Linked DNA regions of Drosophila melanogaster. The protein of the gene in region 3 purifies or fractionates together with the protein of the main gene of each other region. This does not show direct contact. Each region holds a gene or a part of one and is shown on either strand. Other genes may lie near its edges.

The links.
Region 1: the proteins of Syp (region 3) and Hrb27C purify together in Drosophila melanogaster (affinity purification with western blotting, with the first as the bait; one study listed by BioGRID). This does not show direct contact.
Region 2: the proteins of Syp (region 3) and sqd purify together in Drosophila melanogaster (affinity purification with western blotting, with the first as the bait; one study listed by BioGRID). This does not show direct contact.
Region 4: the proteins of Syp (region 3) and stau purify together in Drosophila melanogaster (affinity purification with western blotting; one study listed by BioGRID). This does not show direct contact.

Annotation. Positions count from the first base shown.
Region 1 is NT_033779.5:6,918,738-6,923,730, reverse strand, and holds the start of Hrb27C (heterogeneous nuclear ribonucleoprotein at 27C), read right to left. Parts: upstream 3,028-4,993; 5' UTR 2,870-3,027; intron 2,766-2,869; exon of another isoform or gene 2,658-2,765; intron 2,472-2,657; exon of another isoform or gene 2,291-2,471; intron 2,093-2,290; exon of another isoform or gene 1,933-2,092; intron 1,001-1,932; exon of another isoform or gene 997-1,000; 5' UTR 905-996; intron 1-904. Other genes in the region: x16 splicing factor, read left to right, coding at 3,789-4,207. UniProt on the Drosophila melanogaster protein: This protein is a component of ribonucleosomes. Could be needed to organize a concentration gradient of a dorsalizing morphogen (Dm) originating in the germinal vesicle.
Region 2 is NT_033777.3:13,643,261-13,648,309, reverse strand, and holds the start of sqd (squid), read left to right. Parts: upstream 1-2,005; 5' UTR 2,006-2,390; coding exon 2,391-2,557; intron 2,558-3,739; exon of another isoform or gene 3,740-3,951; intron 3,952-5,049. UniProt on the Drosophila melanogaster protein: Component of ribonucleosomes. Could be needed to organize a concentration gradient of a dorsalizing morphogen (Dm) originating in the germinal vesicle. At least one of the isoforms is essential in somatic tissues.
Region 3 is NT_033777.3:20,788,338-20,792,990, forward strand, and holds the start of Syp (syncrip), read left to right. Parts: upstream 1-1,648; 5' UTR 1,649-1,871; coding exon 1,872-1,995; intron 1,996-3,407; coding exon 3,408-3,526; intron 3,527-3,599; coding exon 3,600-3,912; intron 3,913-3,976; coding exon 3,977-4,218; intron 4,219-4,653.
Region 4 is NT_033778.4:18,122,726-18,127,653, reverse strand, and holds the start of stau (staufen), read left to right. Parts: upstream 1-1,874; 5' UTR 1,875-2,099; intron 2,100-2,726; 5' UTR 2,727-2,775; coding exon 2,776-2,960; intron 2,961-3,780; exon of another isoform or gene 3,781-3,909; intron 3,910-4,791; coding exon 4,792-4,928. Other genes in the region: Spn55B (serpin 55B), read right to left, coding at 357-1,214. UniProt on the Drosophila melanogaster protein: RNA-binding protein which forms ribonucleoprotein complexes (RNPs) that play critical roles in the localization, translational repression and turnover of RNAs during embryogenesis, neurotransmission and neurogenesis.

The DNA.
Region 1 (4,993 bases), on a different chromosome or scaffold from region 3:
GTGTTTTTTTTTATGTATTTATGTTTGTATGTATTTTATGTATGGGTTGTCCAAAAAGTAATTGCGGATTTTGTAAATGAAAGTAAATGCATTTTTAATAAAACTTCGAATGAACTTTAATCAAATATATTGTTCGATAATCTTTTGCCATCTTTCTGGCGAACATCCGAATTAATCGTTTGGTTCCTTGGAAGCAGCTAAAAATATACGACACCCTTCCAATACCACCAAACAGACAGCATAACCTTCTTTTGGTGGATATCAGCCATTGAAGTGAAACGGATCGAATTCATTGCGTTTAAGGTGCTTATCACAAGCGTTGATTCGGTGTGTTAAATGAATTTCTTTCAATACATGTGGTACCCAAATATCAAGCTTTTTCACCAGTCCAAGACTTTTTATAATGAACGGTTGATTTTTGGTATATTTAACTTCTCTCCTATCTCACGCTCAAGTTACATGACGATCTAATTCGATAAATAATAATGCTTTGATTTGGTCATCATCAACTTCATTTGGCCTGAACGTGGCTCATCTCTAAGTGAAAAATCTCCAGAACGGAATTTGCGAAACCAATTTTGACACTGTCTTCCTTTTAAGGCTTCATCACCATACCATCGTATCTCTCGTAACTTTCTAGCAACCTTCTCCGCGTTTTTTCCTTTACGGAAATAATAAAGTAAGATATGACGAAAATGCTCCTTTGTGGGCTCCATATTAAAATTGACGCCAAACAAACAAATAAAAACAAAATTTCGCGCACTTTTTTTTCTAATGGAAGCTAAAAGTAACAGCTGATAACTGACCAAAGAAAGAATGCAATTACAGAGTTACAAGCCGTTGAAAAAATTTGTCAACGCCGACTATATGAAAAATCCGCAATTACTTTTGGGCAATATCTTACTTTTTGGGCAATATCTTAGGTTGGTTTCAACGTTGCCAAAGTTCTTTTTTCCTTCAAAACAATTAAACAAAAGCCACGACGTTCACACGTAACTTTCTATCGTAACAATATCGATGTCGTCGGTTTGTTTTTGTTGCAGGCACATGGAAAGATACACATAGAATATAAGAAATCCGGTTAATCGAATTGCTACACAGGAAAAAACAAGGTGGAATAGTTAATTTGGTTATTTGCAAACTGACGTTATTAAAATTAAAGGCCAGGGCTATGGTTGAAATTTTTTTAAATTTACATTTCCTTCGGAGACAATATTTCTTGCTGTGTAAAGATCTTTGGTGCGAATGGGTAGAAATGGTCAGATGACAAAAAATTCACGCATAGTTATTATGAAAGGCACAGGTAGGAACAAAAAAAAAAAAGAGAAAAAAGCGGCAGAAGCAACCGGCCGGTACACATACACACAAACACACGCAGCTGAAGAGATTCCGCCGTACACGTGTATGTGTGTTTGTCGTCTAACTGCTTTTTGTACACGTTCACAAGTTTGCTCCTCCTTCGACACCCCAACACTACTCTCATCCCCTTTCACTCGTTTTTGAACGGCTACGTGAAAGTATTGTTTTCTTTTCGCTGTGTCACGAGCGGAATGGTTGTTGTTGTTGTTGTTGTAACAAATCCCCAGCCTCACTCACACACCAGCACACATGCCGCCTATCAATGAGAACAACGAACTTATGTATTTCCAAGGTGAAAAGAGAGCTGTCGCCGGTTCACCACATTTGCGCGCCATTTGCCAGGGTATTACAGATTACAGCCAGATGTGGGCCAAGTAAACATCTACAGGAGTATATTTAAATTTTTGTGCAAACGCCAATGAACAACGGGTTTAAATTCACTTTGTTATCAAGAAAATCCCGTTTTCTTTACTGGCAGCACTTCGCAGACATTTTGCCCATTAACAAGTGAAAAAACATGTGGCAACGCCATGTGTGACGTGAACGCGAATGGAAAGCGAAAAGCAAACGTACCAAAAACCAATGCCCTCAAAATAAATGTTAATTCCATCGAAAGAAAAAACAAACAATTCTTTTTCGAGTTTTCCTCCAGCTTTAAACGATTAATGTTTTATTGTTGTTGCTGGCTGAGTACTCACGACTGAACTGAATGAATCGCACTGGCAGTGTGTGGGAAATTCACCACGGCAAAGGCAACGAAGAAAAAAAAACAAAATGGAAGACGTGCCTTATGAAAAATGATACAACAAAGAAGTCTCAAGAAATGTCTTGGGTCTCAGTTCTTAGAAAAGGGAACAAACGCATTTCACTGTATTTTTACGCTTTTCGTTTTGTTTGGCCAGCCAGGCGGTTTAATCGATGGGGCACTCACTAATTCACGAATGCACTTTCACGCCGGGTACACTTTTGACACTTGGGCTTTCGGGCCGGAGAAATAGGAGCGAAATTAACCAAGATTTCTAATACGCAATTTTACGAATTTCGCACGATTTTTGTATTTTGCACCGCAATCTGCTGGCGTGTGTGAGTGCATGAGTTGGCCGTACGTGTGTGCGCGTGAGAGCGTGTGTGTGCGCGAATGGCCGCCGAGCGCTGTGCAATGGTGTGCGTGATCGTTGGTGTGGTGTTATACATAGCATTTTTTCGTATGTATGTATAAAAATATGAAATTTTCCACTTTGATGGGTGGAAATAGAGTGCCGAAAGTGGCACGAAAAATCGCTGAAAATTGCACAAACCTCTGTTTGTCGAGAAATCCGAAAAGGCGAAGAAACGATTCGAACGAATCGAGCCAATTTTACCCCACACACAAACACACGCGCACACCGAGCAATGGCAGCTGCGTCAAGTATTCAGGCGTTTTTTTTGGAAAGGAAAGGCTAGGCAGGCATTTTGTTAAAGCACTGTAATTGTTATGTAAATGCGATTTTCGGTCGCTTTTCGTTCTTACCGTTTGTGCCAAGTGTTCGTCTGTGGTTTTTTAAAGATTTCGCACTGCAAATTCACTAAATTTAAGTGTTTTTTCCTTAAAAAACTAGCTTATAAATAATTGTATGATTTTGATGCATACGATATTATAACCTAACTTATATGATAAATCGCCGCCACGTTTAATGCTGTGTGACCGCCGCCAGCCAAAAAAAATACCTCAAGTTGCACGGAATATACTAAAACATACTCCACATATATTCTGAATCTAACAGATACTAGAAAACAAATTTAAATTACGAATTTATATCTATCTTTTAACACGAAGGCTAAATATAAAGGAAGTTAAAGGGGACTGGTTAAAAAAATGTATTATAAATTATTTACATTAAAATGTAATTGTGCAGTACAATAATATCTTAAAGGTGAAAAATGTAATAAGATGTGTGTATATGATTTGTATGTACTATACTAAAAAAGGTTTTATAGTCGCTTTCTTTAGGCGGATGGAATGTTTTGAAAGGAAAAAATAATTTTGAGTATTTTTTTCGTAGGAGTTGAAAAGGAAATATTTAGATTTTCATTTTTCGGCCCTGGAAGTTATTGTTGCCAGACACTCCCGCCTTTTGCTGACCGTTACCCGCGGATTGAGCATAACTTTTGGTATATTTTTAGCGAGTCCGCAGTTTCTTTTAATGGTCTGTCCACGGTCACTCTGTTTGCTACCCGGTAAAATGAGTTTTGCGCTGCATTAAATAGAAAATAAACACAAAAATTCGCATCTGCCGACCGTGTTAAGTGACTAAAAGTGTTCGCCAGTGCGCGATTGACCGACCAAAGTGCCCAGGAAGGCGGTGGCAAGTGATTCCAACCCATCATCGATTTTTTTCTGCGCTGCTGCCACATTAATTTGGGCCCGGGGAAAAGCGAAATAAACAGAAATGTCGCGCCATCCGAGCGATAGAAAGGTGTACGTGGGCGATCTGGGCAACAATGCCCGGAAGAACGACCTGGAGTATGTATTTGGAGCGTACGGCAGTTTGCGCAGCGTCTGGATAGCCCGCAATCCGCCGGGCTTCGCCTTCGTGGAGTTTGAGAGTGCCCGCGATGCGGCGGATGCGGTGCGCGGATTGGACGGACGGACGGTTTGCGGGCGCCGAGCCCGTGTGGAATTGTCCACCGGAAAGTATGCTAGGTCCGGCGGTGGTGGTGGCGGAGGTGGTGGAGGCGGTGGTGGTGGAGGACTCGGAGGACGCGACCGAGGCGGCGGTGGTCGTGGGGACGATAAGTGCTACGAGTGCGGCGGACGGGGGCATTTCGCTCGCCACTGTCGCGAAAGGAAGGCCAGGCAGCGACGCAGGTAAGCGCAATTCGCATTTGCAATTCGCCATTTCAATTTTTCATTCATTGTCGTTGCCAAAAACTTCTTGCTTTTTGTAACATGGCGAGAGAAAGGCATACATACAAACAAACGCATACATACATACATGCATGCTTGTGTGTATGCGCATGCAAAAATGTTGAGTTTGTTTGGGCACCTCTGTCGCCTGTTAAAACTAACAGCGTGCTGTTATGCGCAATGAGTGCTGTTAATCCCAGCGCATGAAGTAGTTCTGTACCATAACAGCACGCACACGTGCTCGGGTGGCATACCCATTAATATCGATATGAGAAGTATATAGCTTCTACAATTGTCTAACAAAATCATGCTTGACAACAGTAGTTATCTATTCAGATAGTAATAACAGAATTTTGTTTTTAAGTCTATTATATAGACTATTATAAGTCTAATATATTGTAAAAATGTAAACACTTTCGTGATTAATAAATATATAAAATATATATATTTTATACTCTTGAGCACAAGAATTTGTCCGTAAATTGCACAAAAGCTTACAAATAGTTACGTGACAATGATTTAGCGAAGTCCTCTAATATATTTAATATTGATATTAAAGTTTGATTGATTTGATTAGAAATAGACAAATTAAAATAAGTGGTAAACAAAAGGGTAGCAGGCGGCTGCAAGACACCCTCCTACGCTATTTTCCCCGCGCTTTTACGTTCGTGGTGAATTAATTACAGTGGTGCTGTTATGCGCGAACCAAGTGGCAACGCCGTAGACCGAAGGCACACGTGCTTGCAC
Region 2 (5,049 bases), 7.1 Mb from region 3:
GTGCAGCTGTCAGGAAAAATTCCAATTTGCTTGCCGTCGCAGGACATTTAACCCTGCACGTGCTCCAGCTTTTATGCCTGCGATCCTGGCTGACTGAACTTTGCACGTGTGTGTGTGTGCGCGAGTAAATGACCTCATACAATTTGGCAAAGAAAAAAAAGAAGCCGCCAAGCGAGGAGCATGAATTAAATTGAGGTTATGTTCGGGTCTCAAGGTTGTGGCGCCGCATACAATGAACTCCAGCTTGGCCAAAATATCAAATTGCTGCCTTGCAAAAACACTTGAAATAGCGTTAAAAGGTGTAAGTAAATATCAATGTTTGCAGGTGTCCTTTGCCCCATTTTAGCCATAAACATTTGCCGATAAAACAAAAAATGCACAATGAGTTGCGGCAAACCCACACGCACACATATTCGGTTATGAACGCGCCGCTCTTTCGGGTTCTCTCTTTCCCACTCTATTTCTGCTTGCGAACCGCGTGTGTAGGAAGAACAAAGAAAGCTATAGTTGAAGAGCAGCATTTAAACAAAAATGTACAAAAACAAAATTTTTCGTACATTTTTAGGTTATGCACAAGCGATAATAAAAAAAGCCGCTAAAATGGTAAAAAAAAAAATTTAAGAGATAGAGCCCTGCCGCAATAATAAAATATACGCCCATTTAGCATTTTTTATGTTGATTTTTTCCTAGTATGCGCCACCCCTTTGAAAATGGAAAATGCTAGTTTTTCTAGACCGCGCACACGAGGCCGTCGCCGGCTCACCTTTTTTAAGCGATATTTTTCCTCGTTTTTATTTTTCCTTTTTGTAATGCACAGTGTGTATTGCTTTTGGGTTGAAGTTTGCCGAAAAATCGGCACTTTTTGTAGCACTTTTCTTTGTTATCTTCCTGCGGGGGGCGGGGAGAGTTGGATTTCTTAGTGGAGCGCTGAAATTATGCGGTTTTTTTAATTTACAAAACGATAGTCGAAACGTATGAAATGCAGTATAAAATTGCAAGCTGCACACAAAACACACAGCCACACACACCAATGCACTCACTCGCTCACACACACACACTAGTCTAGTTTGTTGCAATTCTTTTTGTCTTTTTTTTTGAGAATAACTAACTTGGCAATTCTTGACGTGTATTTTTTGTTGCTTTCTGATGTTTGGCGATCACAGTTGTTGTTGAATTAAGTTACGATGCATATGTTGTGGCTTTTGAGTAGAAAATAATCGCAAACGCAATGAAATTGGACAAGTGTGTTGAATCGAGAAGAGAACCGACGTTCGTTCCTCTTTTCCTCTTTTTTGCCTCTGCACAGTTTTATTCTTGGTTTCGCGTGTGTTGGTGTGTGAATGATGGCGGCTTTTCCAAGGGTGTGCACACACTTCTTTTTTTGGGGTGGTTAATCTAGTATGTTCCATAGAATATTTTGATGAATTTGATATTTTCATATTTGAGCTCAATTAAGCTCATTTTAGGGGCGCTAAGTTTCTTTTAAATAGTTTTATAAAACTTATTTTCATTTTAGCCATTTCCGATTTTTTGAGTAAGCTCATGAAACACCTTTCTTTAAAGGAAACATTTTATATAGCAAATAAATAAAAACCATAATAACGTTATATTATAACCTGTTGGGAAATCCGAATATGAAAATTGTATAAATTTTTGCAAAAAATAAAAATATTTAATATAAACCAATTAAATGATTTAAAATATTGTTGATGTTTCAGCCTATAAGAAGTTAATATGAAAATTCGATTTTAAACAATTCTTTGTATGTAAATGTTGTTTTCGTTCCCAACACATAGTAAATAATGAACATTGTATTTTTTATATTTATAAAATTATAAATGTTTATGAAATACTTAATATTTATTTAAATATTTAAACCTTTAATACAACTAAAATGAATTTATAAACCAAGTAACTTGTCCATTGTGTAAACTGGGCTTTAAAATATTTGTATAAAATTTTTGGTATTCTTTTCATTTTCTCTTCATAGGTGTGTGTACATTGTATAAATCAAAGCTGCCATACTGCAAGCAGACAAGTCACGCGCCCATTTAGCTCCTTATATAGGCTTATTTGGGGTGGTATCGTACAGAAAATCCCAATTTAATCCTTGGCAAATGTATAGCTAACAATCTCCAGGTAGAGCAAGCAAATACAATACAAATATTTACCAAAATAATACCAAATCGACTTGACTGGGAAAACATCAAGGTGGCAACGCCGCACCCATATACACACGCTGTCGTTTGCATTTATCATTTTCCGGTCGTCATTTCATTCGTACGCGCGACTTTTTGGCGAGTGTGTATAAAAATCTCCGGCTCTGCGTAAAAAACGAATATCGTGCTGCCTAGCCCCCGAAATTAGTAGATCAGTCGAAAACACACAAAATGGCCGAGAACAAGCAAGTGGATACAGAAATAAACGGCGAGGATTTCACCAAGGACGTGACTGCCGACGGTCCGGGATCTGAAAATGGTGATGCGGGCGCCGCCGGCTCGACCAACGGCAGTTCGGACAACCAATCGGCCGCATCCGGCCAGCGGGACGACGACAGGTATGTCCATTATCCGGCGGATACGTTTTTTTTTTGTTCTTTTTTATTTTTGCAACGGGCAACCGATGATCATGTGCCCCCCATAGATTTTCTGCTTCTACATAGTGTATATTGCCTACTCTGTTACGTAAATGCAAAGCTAACGTCGTTGGTCGAGTTTCATTGGATTTTACGGGGTTCTGCGGGGGAAGTCTGACCCCTTTTGTGTTCTCTCTCGCTTGCGCTCGTGCGTCGGAGTGTGTTTAAGTGTGTGTGTGTGAGGTGTCGGTGCGACTGTACTTCAGTCATATTAATAGAATCTTCGGGCCAAAATGCATCATCACAGTCTCGGGAGACATGGAAAATTTTCAACGTTTTCCCCTGCACACACACGCACTTTCCGCAATGAAAACCAGAGTTTTCTTAAGCTAGGAGCACATTTTCTCCCCTTTGTGAGGTTATGTTTGTTTCCCACGTTGCCCCACAGACACACTGTGACGCATACGAACACAAATCATACGGTTGCCTTTCACTTGCAAAAAATGTGGCGAAAAAAAACGTTGGAAAAAGTTATGTTTGTATTTGTCAGTGTATTCTTTTTAATTCGCATTACTCTTTGTTTCGGCTATTTCGTTGTTATTTTGTGCTCTTCCAGTTTTGTACCCAAAATGGCGGCTGCATACAGGCATACATACCAACCTAACGCCCGCTGTTCTGTAGGTGTGTGCGTGTTTTGCAGTTTTCACTTATTCTCTTGCTTGCCGGCTTCGCTCGCTCGCCACCTCTTTTGCGCGCTCTTACTCTCAGAGAGCGACAGCCGGCGTTGTTTGGAGTTGCCAAGGCGCCAAAATATTAATTTAACGAACAATTAATGTAAATTATAAATGATAAATAATTTTGATGGATTAAAGCATAGAGATAATGATGATCAAGTAGAATGGTCCTCTTGTTTGCTCCCCTGCGTTTTGGTTTTTAGGTCTAGCGTACACTTCATTTGCCCATCCTTTATGATCATTTTATATCTAAGTTTAATCTTAAGTCACACGATACTGTACATTTAAACGATAATACGAAACCAGCGCTGACGAAGCAGATGCAGATTATTCCCCGTAAAGGAAGAAGGACGAAATGGAGAAATTAAATCGAAAATCATAGCTTATCCTGTTGTCTTGTGAGCGAACTAACCTTGTTCCTCTCCGGCAGGTTTTGAGAGAAGTGAAATGCCCCAGGTCAGGGTTTTAAGCTATGCTCAAGACGGATATGGATTCGGATATGGATTTGGATTCGTATTCCTGCCCCCGGCAAACGGTTACGGATTCGGATTCGGATTCGGCGGACTTATACTTGGAGGATATGCAACCCTCTCCACACTCCAGTCTCCAAAAGTCTCCGCTCCGCCGATACTGATGCTGATGGTATTTATCTATCCAAAACTAAAACAAACAAACAATCAGTCAGTCAGCCAATATATAGAACTATCAACACACAAAATTATCAAGAAATAATCTCGATTTAAAATTGGATCCATATGTAAACTGTATACGAGTATATATTGTATTGTATCTCTTAACGTATAACTTGTAAATTACCTAAAAAAAAAAGAAAAACAAAAAAGTACCAAGTAATCGGAGACAGAGAGAGACCGAGTGAAAAAGAGACTCGCAGTTTTTTCGTTTTGTTTTATGAAGCTCAAAAACTATACATTATATATCGCCCGAAGAAAGAAACACAATGAACGAATGTAACGTAACGAATTGCCACAAAAAAGAAGCACAAATCACTAAATTGCAATCGAAATTCCGCCGCCGTGTGATGAGACTGTTCCAAATTTGCCGGGAATCCGCCGAGAACGATGAGATATCTTTCCAAAAAGTCCAGAAATCAATGAGTAACGTACACATCATAGTAAACTATAAGTGTCTGCATATTTTTTCAACATTCCTTTTTATAAAAAAAAAAAAATATAAAATAAAATAAACAGCCAAATAAAGAAAGTAAAACTAACCACAATCCAGCATAAAAACCTTTGCATTCTTTTCTCTCATCCTATTGAATAAAGACTAATTGTTAATTGTTATTTGTACAGACAAAGACTCTTAAGCATACCCAAAACAAAAACTTAATAATTCACTCTTGCATATCTTATATATACTATATATCTATATCTTTCGCTCGTTTTGTGTCTCTCGATCGATCGCTCGCTCGCTCCTCGAACTCTTTCGCTCATTCCGAGTTTGCAAGTATTTTGACACTATCCGATCAATTCTTTGATTGCAATACAGTAACTAAAGCAATTTTTCACTTCAAATTTGGTGAGTTTTTTTTATTCGTTTTGTATTCTTGCCCAGTCATCAAATTCTTTTGCAGCCAATACGAAAATCAGTAAGAGAAGAAAAAATTTAAAGTAAATTAAGAAAGTATTTGCCTCGCGCATCAAACACAACCTATTTTTCGTGCCTGATTTTCCCAGATAAACCTTTTCCTACCAAAATATTTCCCTAAATCTATATTGA
Region 3 (4,653 bases):
TTGTTGTCGCCGTTGTCCATGGCAATAACATTTAAATGGCTAGGGCTTCTTGAAATTCAAATTGCGAAAGCACAAACTTTAACACTTCCTCAATGCCACGGCGAGCAACCCCTGGACTATAGCCAGCCGCCACCATCCTAAAGATACTCATAGTTTCTGCAGTCTACAGTCAGTCTGGCTTCGGTTGACAGAAACAGGGGCGGAGTTGCCAATTTGCCATTGGGGAGATCTTGTAATTCTAGACCAGACTGCTGCCGGCGGCGACGTATTGTCTGGCAGACGGACGCGAGTGACGAACAAATGTGGCAAAACGATTTATTTGGCTTTATCAGCAATTTTTGATTCTCCTTTGTCTCCCATTGAAAAAGCGCCGCATTAAGTGCTCCGCCTGCGTTTGCGGCGATTTGTCATATCGCTGATTTACTAACCTTACACCAGGCATTATCTCTTGGCAAAGGAGGCCGAATCCGAATCCGAGTCCGGAATGGCGGGGGAGAGGTGGAATCCGGGGCGAATCACCCCTGCTAGCAGCTAGAGGGTGACTTTTTCTGTTTTTTTTTTTTTTTTTTTTATACAACCGAGGGTGTAACTAACCGACACAAGTGCAAGAAGGCAGGATATGCCAGGATATGCATGTGTGTATGTATGGCTGGCTGTGTATGTTTGCGCATATCGCCGGCATCAACATCAAATTTATTGAGGTAGTTGCCAAGCGGCTCTGGCAAACAAAACGAGCATGCAAAAAGGAATGTTCTTTAACATGCAAACGTTTCTTTGTTTTTCCCCCATTTTAGCCGTGCTTCTATTTTTTCTGTACGAGTATATGCATGGGACAGAGTTGCCACCGCTGGGGCAAACAAGCGGCGACTACCCTGTTGCCATAACAAACATGCATAAAAAATGATGACTCGGGCTGGAAAAAAAAAGCACACACACAGTCCGGCAAGTGTTGCAAATTGAAAGCGGTTTTAGGCCAGGAGCCGTCACCTGAATAGCTTTGAGTTCGGGAGACCCAAGAATAAAGACTTAAATTGGCTGTGGTATGTGGCCAGTCATCCTGTTTTTTTTTTTGTTCAGTATGCACTTCCATATGCCATAGAAGCATTAGCATGGCAACTCAGCGTATAAGGAATACCATTTTATCGATATTTCACTGCAATCCTAATGGAATTTCCTGCATTGTTGTCTACTCCTTTCGACTGGCTCAATATCCATTGCCCATGTGTTTATTATTCATTTACTCGCTGTGCGCCGATAAAGCGCTTTTCCTGATTTTCCCGCCTTTCTCGCATCGCCAGCGCAACTTCATGACGCTCCCCCGGTGTTTGCCCTTTTGTGGGCTTCCCTGCGGTTGTCGCCAACACTTTTCACTTACAGCTCGCTGCGTTTTCGCGCCCAACAATCTAGATATACATACATGCATATAAATACATAGTATTTATGTGTTGGAGGGGCCTAGATAATGGGATATGTTTTTGTTGTTACTGGTTGACTGGTTCCGCTTATTGTTATAGTTGTCATAGCGCACATGGCATTCTGATGGCCCCACTGCAGTTGTCATAAATTTGTGGTCTTAATACTTGCACCACACCATTTTCAGGATTGCCACCTCAACAAAGTGGGTTCGGTTCGGTAACCCTTTCTAAATATCGATGCGTAGTTGGCCCTGCTGGGCGATTGTCAAAAGTTATTCCGTAATGTTTTTTGTTTCTATTCAGTTGTGAAAATTTTTCTCGTCTCTCGAATCGTTTCGGAACTATTGATTTTTACTTCAAAAATAAGAAAAAGCGAAAACAAATTCATTCACATTTGCAATCGAAATTCCAAGTCGCCTAAGGAAATTGAAAATTGTTAAATTGTTGCATTACGCGATGCTTTCCCAGATGGAAGCCTCCAAAGTGCAGAAGGATGAAGGGGGCGGCGAGGCTCTGAGCCGCACGATCCTCAAAACACCGTCTTCATTCAGGACCCCCAGCCCAATTCCCAGTTGCAGCAGTGAGTATTCCACGCCGCTGCAAAACACCCAATTGCCCCCGATATCAATCGCAAAGTATTTCAATGTCAGCGAAAACGAATCGAATGCCGGAGAATTAATGCGAAATTCGCAGAATGCCAGTGGAGAGAGCAGCAACAAACAGAAAAGATTTTAGAAATGTTCGGGTTTGCCCATAATTTTTGTGGGTCGCGCTCTATCGCTGGTTTGGCTCTCCCATTCTTGAACGATAGAGCTAGCTGATATTGCTGCTGTTTTTTTTTGTTTTTGTTTTTTTTTTTTTGCACATGTTACGCAATTATCGCTCTCGGCTAGTTGGGGTCCCTCGTTTTTATTTTTGCAGCTTGCTTCGTTTTTGTTTGAACGTCAAACACACACAACTTTCTATATGTATGTATGTACATACACATCGTACATATATATAATATACATACGAATATACGTGTACACGCGAATCAAAATAGCATTTGCTGATAGTGTGGCTGCTAAGGTAGCTTTCTATGCTGCGGCCTGTATAGGTGAGCGTTTGCCACTTGACAACTGTGGAACATTTGCATTTTCATTATGAGTGTGCCATAAATATTCATTTATGATAAATGCCTGTGTGCAGCTGCGGCTGCAATTGCAACGAAAGCGAACAGCTCTTGTTTCCGCAGCTCAACTGAATTTAGCCACGGAACAGATCATAAATAAATGTATTAGGCTGATTTAACATAGCAAATCACGTATACTACTACTTTTAGTCAATAAAACTACTAATACTAATCCAAGTCTAAAGTCCAGTAGCTTCAAACACGGCAAAAAGTGAACCCACTAGATTCATCAGCTGTTACCAGGGCAACTAATACGTCACGCTCTTGTGAGCGTGGCCGAACACATCGCGTATACGCAACACGTCACGCACAATTCGCAAATCGCGCCTCTTTTCGTTTGTTTACATTTTGGCCAATACGTTTTCATGCGGCTCCCTCTTTCTCTTCTCGTTTGCCTTTCTCCTTCTCTTGCCTTTCTCACGCACTTTTCGGTGCTCGGATGCGCGCTCTTCTGGATCGCAAATTTGTGCGTTTCGCATTTGTTTGGAGTCAATGAACTTTGTTGCTCGCTTTGTTGTCTCCTCTCTCTCCCATGCTCCCTGCTTTATCGCACTCCCCGTTTATCTCATTCCGCGAGTGCGTGCGACGGTGCGTAAGTTGCCAATTTTTCGTATTTCTCGTATTTCGCACATTCTCGCGACCCATTTTTTACCAAGCGCTCGCCGTTTGTGGCTATTTTGCGTTCGTTGAACTCTACAAGGTGATTTTATAGGTCGCACAATTTGTGGGTGCTCACTTGAATGTATGTTTCAAGAATATTAATATTTATGTATAAATACTCAATATATATTTATAACATTTTATTATCGTTGCACTTGCAGAAATGGCGGAAGGTAATGGCGAACTGTTGGATGACATTAACCAGAAAGCCGATGACCGTGGCGATGGCGAGCGTACAGAGGATTATCCCAAGCTGCTGGAATACGGTCTGGACAAGAAGGTGAGTGCTTTGAGAACCCAACACCACATGCCAACTATTACCAACATTTGCCACATGCAACATATGCTCCTAGGTCGCCGGCAAACTGGATGAGATCTACAAAACCGGCAAGTTGGCTCACGCCGAGCTGGACGAGCGCGCCCTGGACGCGCTCAAGGAGTTTCCCGTCGATGGTGCCTTGAATGTGTTGGGACAGTTCCTGGAATCGAACCTGGAGCACGTGTCAAACAAGTCCGCCTACCTATGCGGCGTGATGAAGACGTACCGACAGAAGAGTCGAGCCAGCCAACAGGGCGTGGCCGCGCCCGCAACTGTCAAAGGTCCCGACGAGGACAAGATCAAGAAAATCCTCGAGCGCACCGGCTACACATTAGATGTGACGACAGGTGAGAAACATTTTCAAGTACTGGAGAAACTTTTATCTAATACTATTACTTATACCGTACTCAGGTCAGCGTAAATACGGCGGACCGCCGCCGCATTGGGAGGGAAATGTGCCAGGCAACGGTTGCGAGGTTTTCTGCGGCAAGATACCCAAGGACATGTACGAGGACGAACTGATTCCGCTATTCGAGAACTGCGGCATAATCTGGGACCTACGACTCATGATGGACCCGATGACGGGCACAAATCGTGGTTATGCATTTGTCACATTCACAAATCGCGAAGCGGCCGTCAATGCAGTGCGACAGGTATTTAAGCCAACCACAGATCATCCATACCACCAACCACCAGTCCAGCCCAGCCCAGCCCACCTGAAAACCCAGTCTCCCCAATGAAAACCCCACCCCATCCGACCCTGACCACCAAATCAGTTTGATCCCCGCTTCAATGTTTTTACGTATTGCTAACTCTTAAGACCTATACAAATATCCTATATATATACATATTTAACGTATTGTATCCACATATTTACTATCGTGTTATAACACATCGGATGAAGTAGGAACAGTTATGCGGCCAAAGCAAAATTCAAATATTTGAAATTCTCCACAGCAAGAGCGAAAAATTACCGATTTGATCACAACCGATTTGGCGCTTTTAGATCCGACCATGAGAAATTCTGCAATTCCATTTAGTTTTTAACGTATGCTTACTTTACCTCTCTGCCTTTGCTATTAAGAATT
Region 4 (4,928 bases), on a different chromosome or scaffold from region 3:
AGCTCATTTTGGTTATCTAAGACATTTCTACCCTACCGTCGATAAGCTACTAAAAATAATACATATGTACATCAATAGACGGAATTTTAGAGATAAGTGGGCAATAAATATTTTTGTGGGCGGTTTGCAGCACTGCAACGTGTCCATAAAATTGAATTCTGGATTTTATGGAGAAATTTATTGAGCTACTGCTATTAATAACTCCAAACTTCACCTTAAGCACGCAACATCAAATGGAGGTCAAGGAACTGTGTTATATAAAAACAAAAGCTGACCCCAAATGGAGCTTAATTGTGGCATAAATTGGGTGGAACAATCAACCCCCCCCACCCCCAAAAAAAAAAAATAATATGTACCTGCTTCAGTTTCTCGGCCAATTCCAGGGAGTAGTCCACCTTAAACTTGGGGAACTTGACATGGACCTCTTCCACGGTCAACTTGTCGGCCAAATCCACCAGGTTCACAGTCTTGAGCTTCTCGGCTAGGGCGTAAATACCTGTCCGCTCCTGCGGCAGCAGCACGAACATGGAGAGGTCAGAGTCCTGGTAGGGCATCTCCAGGGCAGTGCAGCCCAGATCTTCGAAGAAGCCATAGTTGAACTTGGCCTTCTGGTTCATGTAGTTGATTTTAACCTGCTCCTCCTCGCCCACCCAGAAGATATCCTCCTCGGTGCGCTCCTCGCTGAACTTGTGCGCCCAGCTGCCCTTGAAGTGGAGGGCATTGAGCAGGACCAGCCTGGTGTTGTCCGAGAACGAGTCCGCGCTGACCAGCTCCGTAATCTTGCCCTGAGTCTTGGCATTCACCCAGGCATTGATGGCCTGGGCGGCGGCATCGTTGAGCGCAAAGTTAATGGACTCCGCCTCCGAATGATACTGCTCCTTGATGGCCGACTGGTAGGCGGGCTTCAGCTGCTTGCCCTCCTGCACGTACAGCTTGTTGGCAACGCGCAGCAGGTTACTGTTGCGGTACTTCTCCAGCACAAACTGGAACGTTTGGGCCACCTCCGGCGGAAAGTTGGAGACGAAGTGCAGTGCCTTGGCGATCTCGTCGGCGGTTTCACCCTGCGATCCGGCAAAGGCCAGGGCAATGCAAGTTTGGATGGAGAAGGGCGAGAAGACGACGTTCTCCTTGAGCCCGCCAGCGCTCAAAAGCTGAAAAAGTTCGCTGGTGAAACGGGCACCTCCACGCGCAAATTCCAAATTGAAATCGAACATATTGACGGACTGAACTGAGTAATTGTGGGTGTGCTGCGTAATCGCGGAACTGCGTGTGCTTGCTCTCTGGTCTGCTGTCTACACCGGAATGCCTTAAATGCCATTCGGGGCCACAACAAAAGTGAAAACATCGGCCAGCCGGCGAATGAGTCACAGCCAAAATATTATCAAAACAATCGAAGCGAATTGGTGGCGTCATCATTTTCATGATCTAGCAACCTTGGGGGCATCCCCGGGTTCATCCCAAAAATAAAAGTAATAGGGCGTTCTTTAAATAGCCACTGTTTTTCAGTTTTTGTTTGTCTGATGATAAAATTCTTAAAAATATGTTTTTATTTTTAATATTATTTTGCAGTGTGACCTTAAGCATTGGCGCCTAAAAACGCTGGCTTTCTGTCCAACAAATACTAAAATACACTTGAACAGGAAAACGCATGCTGTTGTTTGTTGTTTGTAATTCAATCAATAAGCCTGTTAGTTAAATATTTCGTAATTACAGATTTAAATAATTTCGAATTAATATTTATGCCCTTTTTAAAGTTATCAATTTCGATAGGCATAAAATACCAGATCGACTATTGTGCAGCCCTGGCGCTTCTGCGCGCGCGCTTTCCAACACCGCCGTACGCAACCACCCCGCTTCCCGCTCGCCTAAAAGCCATTATTTTTCGAGTTTCATCCGCAGCCACAGTGCAAAATAGGTTTATCAATTTAATTTAAGTGTTAAAGTAGTTCTAAAGTGTTTTTTAAGTTGCGCAAACGATCGAGGCCAGCCCGCATGAATGGATGTGCATGTGTCCATCGATCGAACGGAGTATTTGCATTCAGTTGTTGTGATTTTCCCGTGACCATTGCGTACGAAAATCGTTTTGGGAGCGCAAGAAGGTGAGTTGCGTCTGCAGATCGTTATGCCACTCTCGTTTCGGATGCGGACTGGGAATCGGAATGGGGTTACGGAACGGAATGGAAGGGAAGGGAACAGAATCCATGGATGTGTGGATCTGGGTCTAGGTCTTGTTCTTGGTCTTGGTTTGGGTCTGGGTCCTTGAACCCCTGCACGGAATGCACGAAACCTGAATTGCGCACTGCAGCTGCATTTTATCCGATTTCACCAAGAACACACAGAGGCATAAGGCAACCGGAGGGCCGTAAGAACCAGAAAAGTGCAACCAGGAGTGGTTGCTTGGCATCGGCAACGAATCAGTCGATTTGAACCCTTCTACCCGCCGCCTGTCACAATTTGATTTAGGCCGATGTCGTCGCTTCAGTTGCATTTCTATGTATATATATATATATATACGCATATATGTATGCACACACATATGTATGTATGTATATAGGTAGATACGTGTGCACCATGTCCATTTGCATTTCGCATTTATATGCCCCGCATGCAGTTGCAACTTGTTTACGCACAATCGCCGCACAAAGAAACACCTCCAGGGCCCTTTGTGCGGACAGGGAAAACATTGTTTGTGTCCGTCTCATCCATGTTCCTTTTCCTCCTTGCAGCTGCGGTCGCTGGTTCATACGGGAGTCCTAAAGGTTACAGCTCAAGAAAATGCAGCACAACGTTCATGCCGCCCGGCCAGCGCCCCACATCCGAGCTGCGCACCATCACAGCCACAGCCATGCCCACATGCATCTGCATCCCGGCATGGAGCAGCACCTGGGCCCCAGTCTTCAGCAGCAACAGCAGCCGCCACCGCCGCCCCAGCAGCCTCCACATCGCGACCTCCACGCACGGTAAGCCATCTATGTCGTTGACGCTATCAGGAATAACAATTAAACCAGATAATGCTTCATCCTTCAGTCAAATAAGAGTAGTATCAGTTTATTAAATTGTGATACCTTTTGGAGTTCGGTTCCAATTTAGCAGTTCTAACTATGTTTGGAGTTAAACAAGATGGTACGCCTTGTTGGTTCAGTTTGTTTTCGGAAATGGTTATCATCCCCTTCATTCAATCGAAACTCCATGTAAACAAGAAGGGGTAACATGGGTTAAATAGGTTTTCCAAGTCTAGAAGAATTCCCATCTATCTATGTACAGGAAGGAACTTTTAGATAGGTGTGTTATTAATATGGGATAACATCTTATAGAGTTTCCTAATCTAGATCGAGATCTCAGTATAAATTGTTTAGGCAATAATGTACCACTAGCCACTGGTTGGATCTCATGGACTCAGTGTGAATCTCAGGTGAGGAAAATGTATCTCCCTGGCTTGGTTGGATCCTAGAGAGATTCCACATCGACTCGAAACGCCAGCTTGTCTGAGCTTTATGCGTTGCGGCAATTATGTTAATTCCTGTCACTGACAATTGGTGTGAGACTCATCATCCCATTTTCTCAACTCATAAATTATAATTTCAGTGGCTCTTTGTTCTTTCGCGCTCAGCATGACTTCCGCTCGATGATAACGGGTTTGCCCTGCCGACTGCGCTGCAATTATCCTTGACGTTCGCGAGTATCCTTCGGCTCGGCCTCCAGTAGTTCAGGCTCCTCGTATTGTCTACGATCATATGTTTCGCCAAACTCTCTGCAAACTGCTCATCCAGTTCCGCATTCAGTTGCGTTTTGCCTGCCGGTCGGATCGGGTCGCACATGAATTTATTACCGACGTTCGCTGATTCTAACGTACATTTGCGTACGATCTTTTAACGATCATGATAGACTTTCATCAGTGCCAAGTGAGAGGTGAAATATGCAAGAAGATTAAAGTTATAGAAACTGAAGCGGGATCTAATAAGTTCGCAAGACAATAAATTAAAGAACTCGTAAAGATAAGAGATGAGATTTTGCAAATGAAATCAAATCCTCTTAACCATATAACTTGCAAGTGAAAGGTACGAAAGGAATAAACTTCAGATATTACTACAGATTTGTATTAGCCTGAAATATGGATTATCACATTGCTCAGACTTGTTTTCAAAAAAGAGTGTCCATAAACATTAAGAGCATTCAATTAATTACCTTTCCCTTACGCAGGACATTTTTATCGCATATCAACTGATCCTAATCACAAATTGCCCATATCAATGTTAATTTGAAGGCTTGTTTCCGTACTGATTTAGCGATTATAAATTGCCAAAAATATTTCCTTGTCTTGTGAAATGTACGAGGCTGTAGGTAAAGGTCGCTAGAGTGCTCTCCTACCCTCGATCATTGGGAAAGGAAAGGTAGGGAGCGGTTGCAGGAGCAGGGTGTCGCAGTAGGTGCGTCTCAATTGAAACTGACAGTTGGCGAAAAATGACACGATGCGTAAGAGAATGCGGCTTTTGTGCTTTGTTAGGATTTTGTCCATTGTTCGGCGTGGTCGCTGTTGTCTGCTATTCCGCAGGAACAACAACATACGGCAGAGGGTTGGGGGGGGCCACGAAGCTTCTAGGACCTCTCTCGTTGGTGTTTTTGTTTTTCCCGTGCGCCAGTCGATGTACACTTTTGTCTCGATGGCCTCTATAATCCTCTTGGTGTGCATTGTTTGCTGATATAACCGCAGAAGCCAGCGCATCCGCCCCAGGAGCTCTTACTTGTGGCCATCGATTAACCAATTTGCTTGCTCTATCCTCCGTTTTGCAGTCTGAATCATCACCATCTCCACGCTCAGCAGCAGCAGCAGCAACAGACGTCGTCGAACCAAGCCGGCGCCGTCGCTGCGGCTGGGGCTGCCTATCACCACGGCAACATCAACAGCAACAGCGGCAGCAACATCTCCA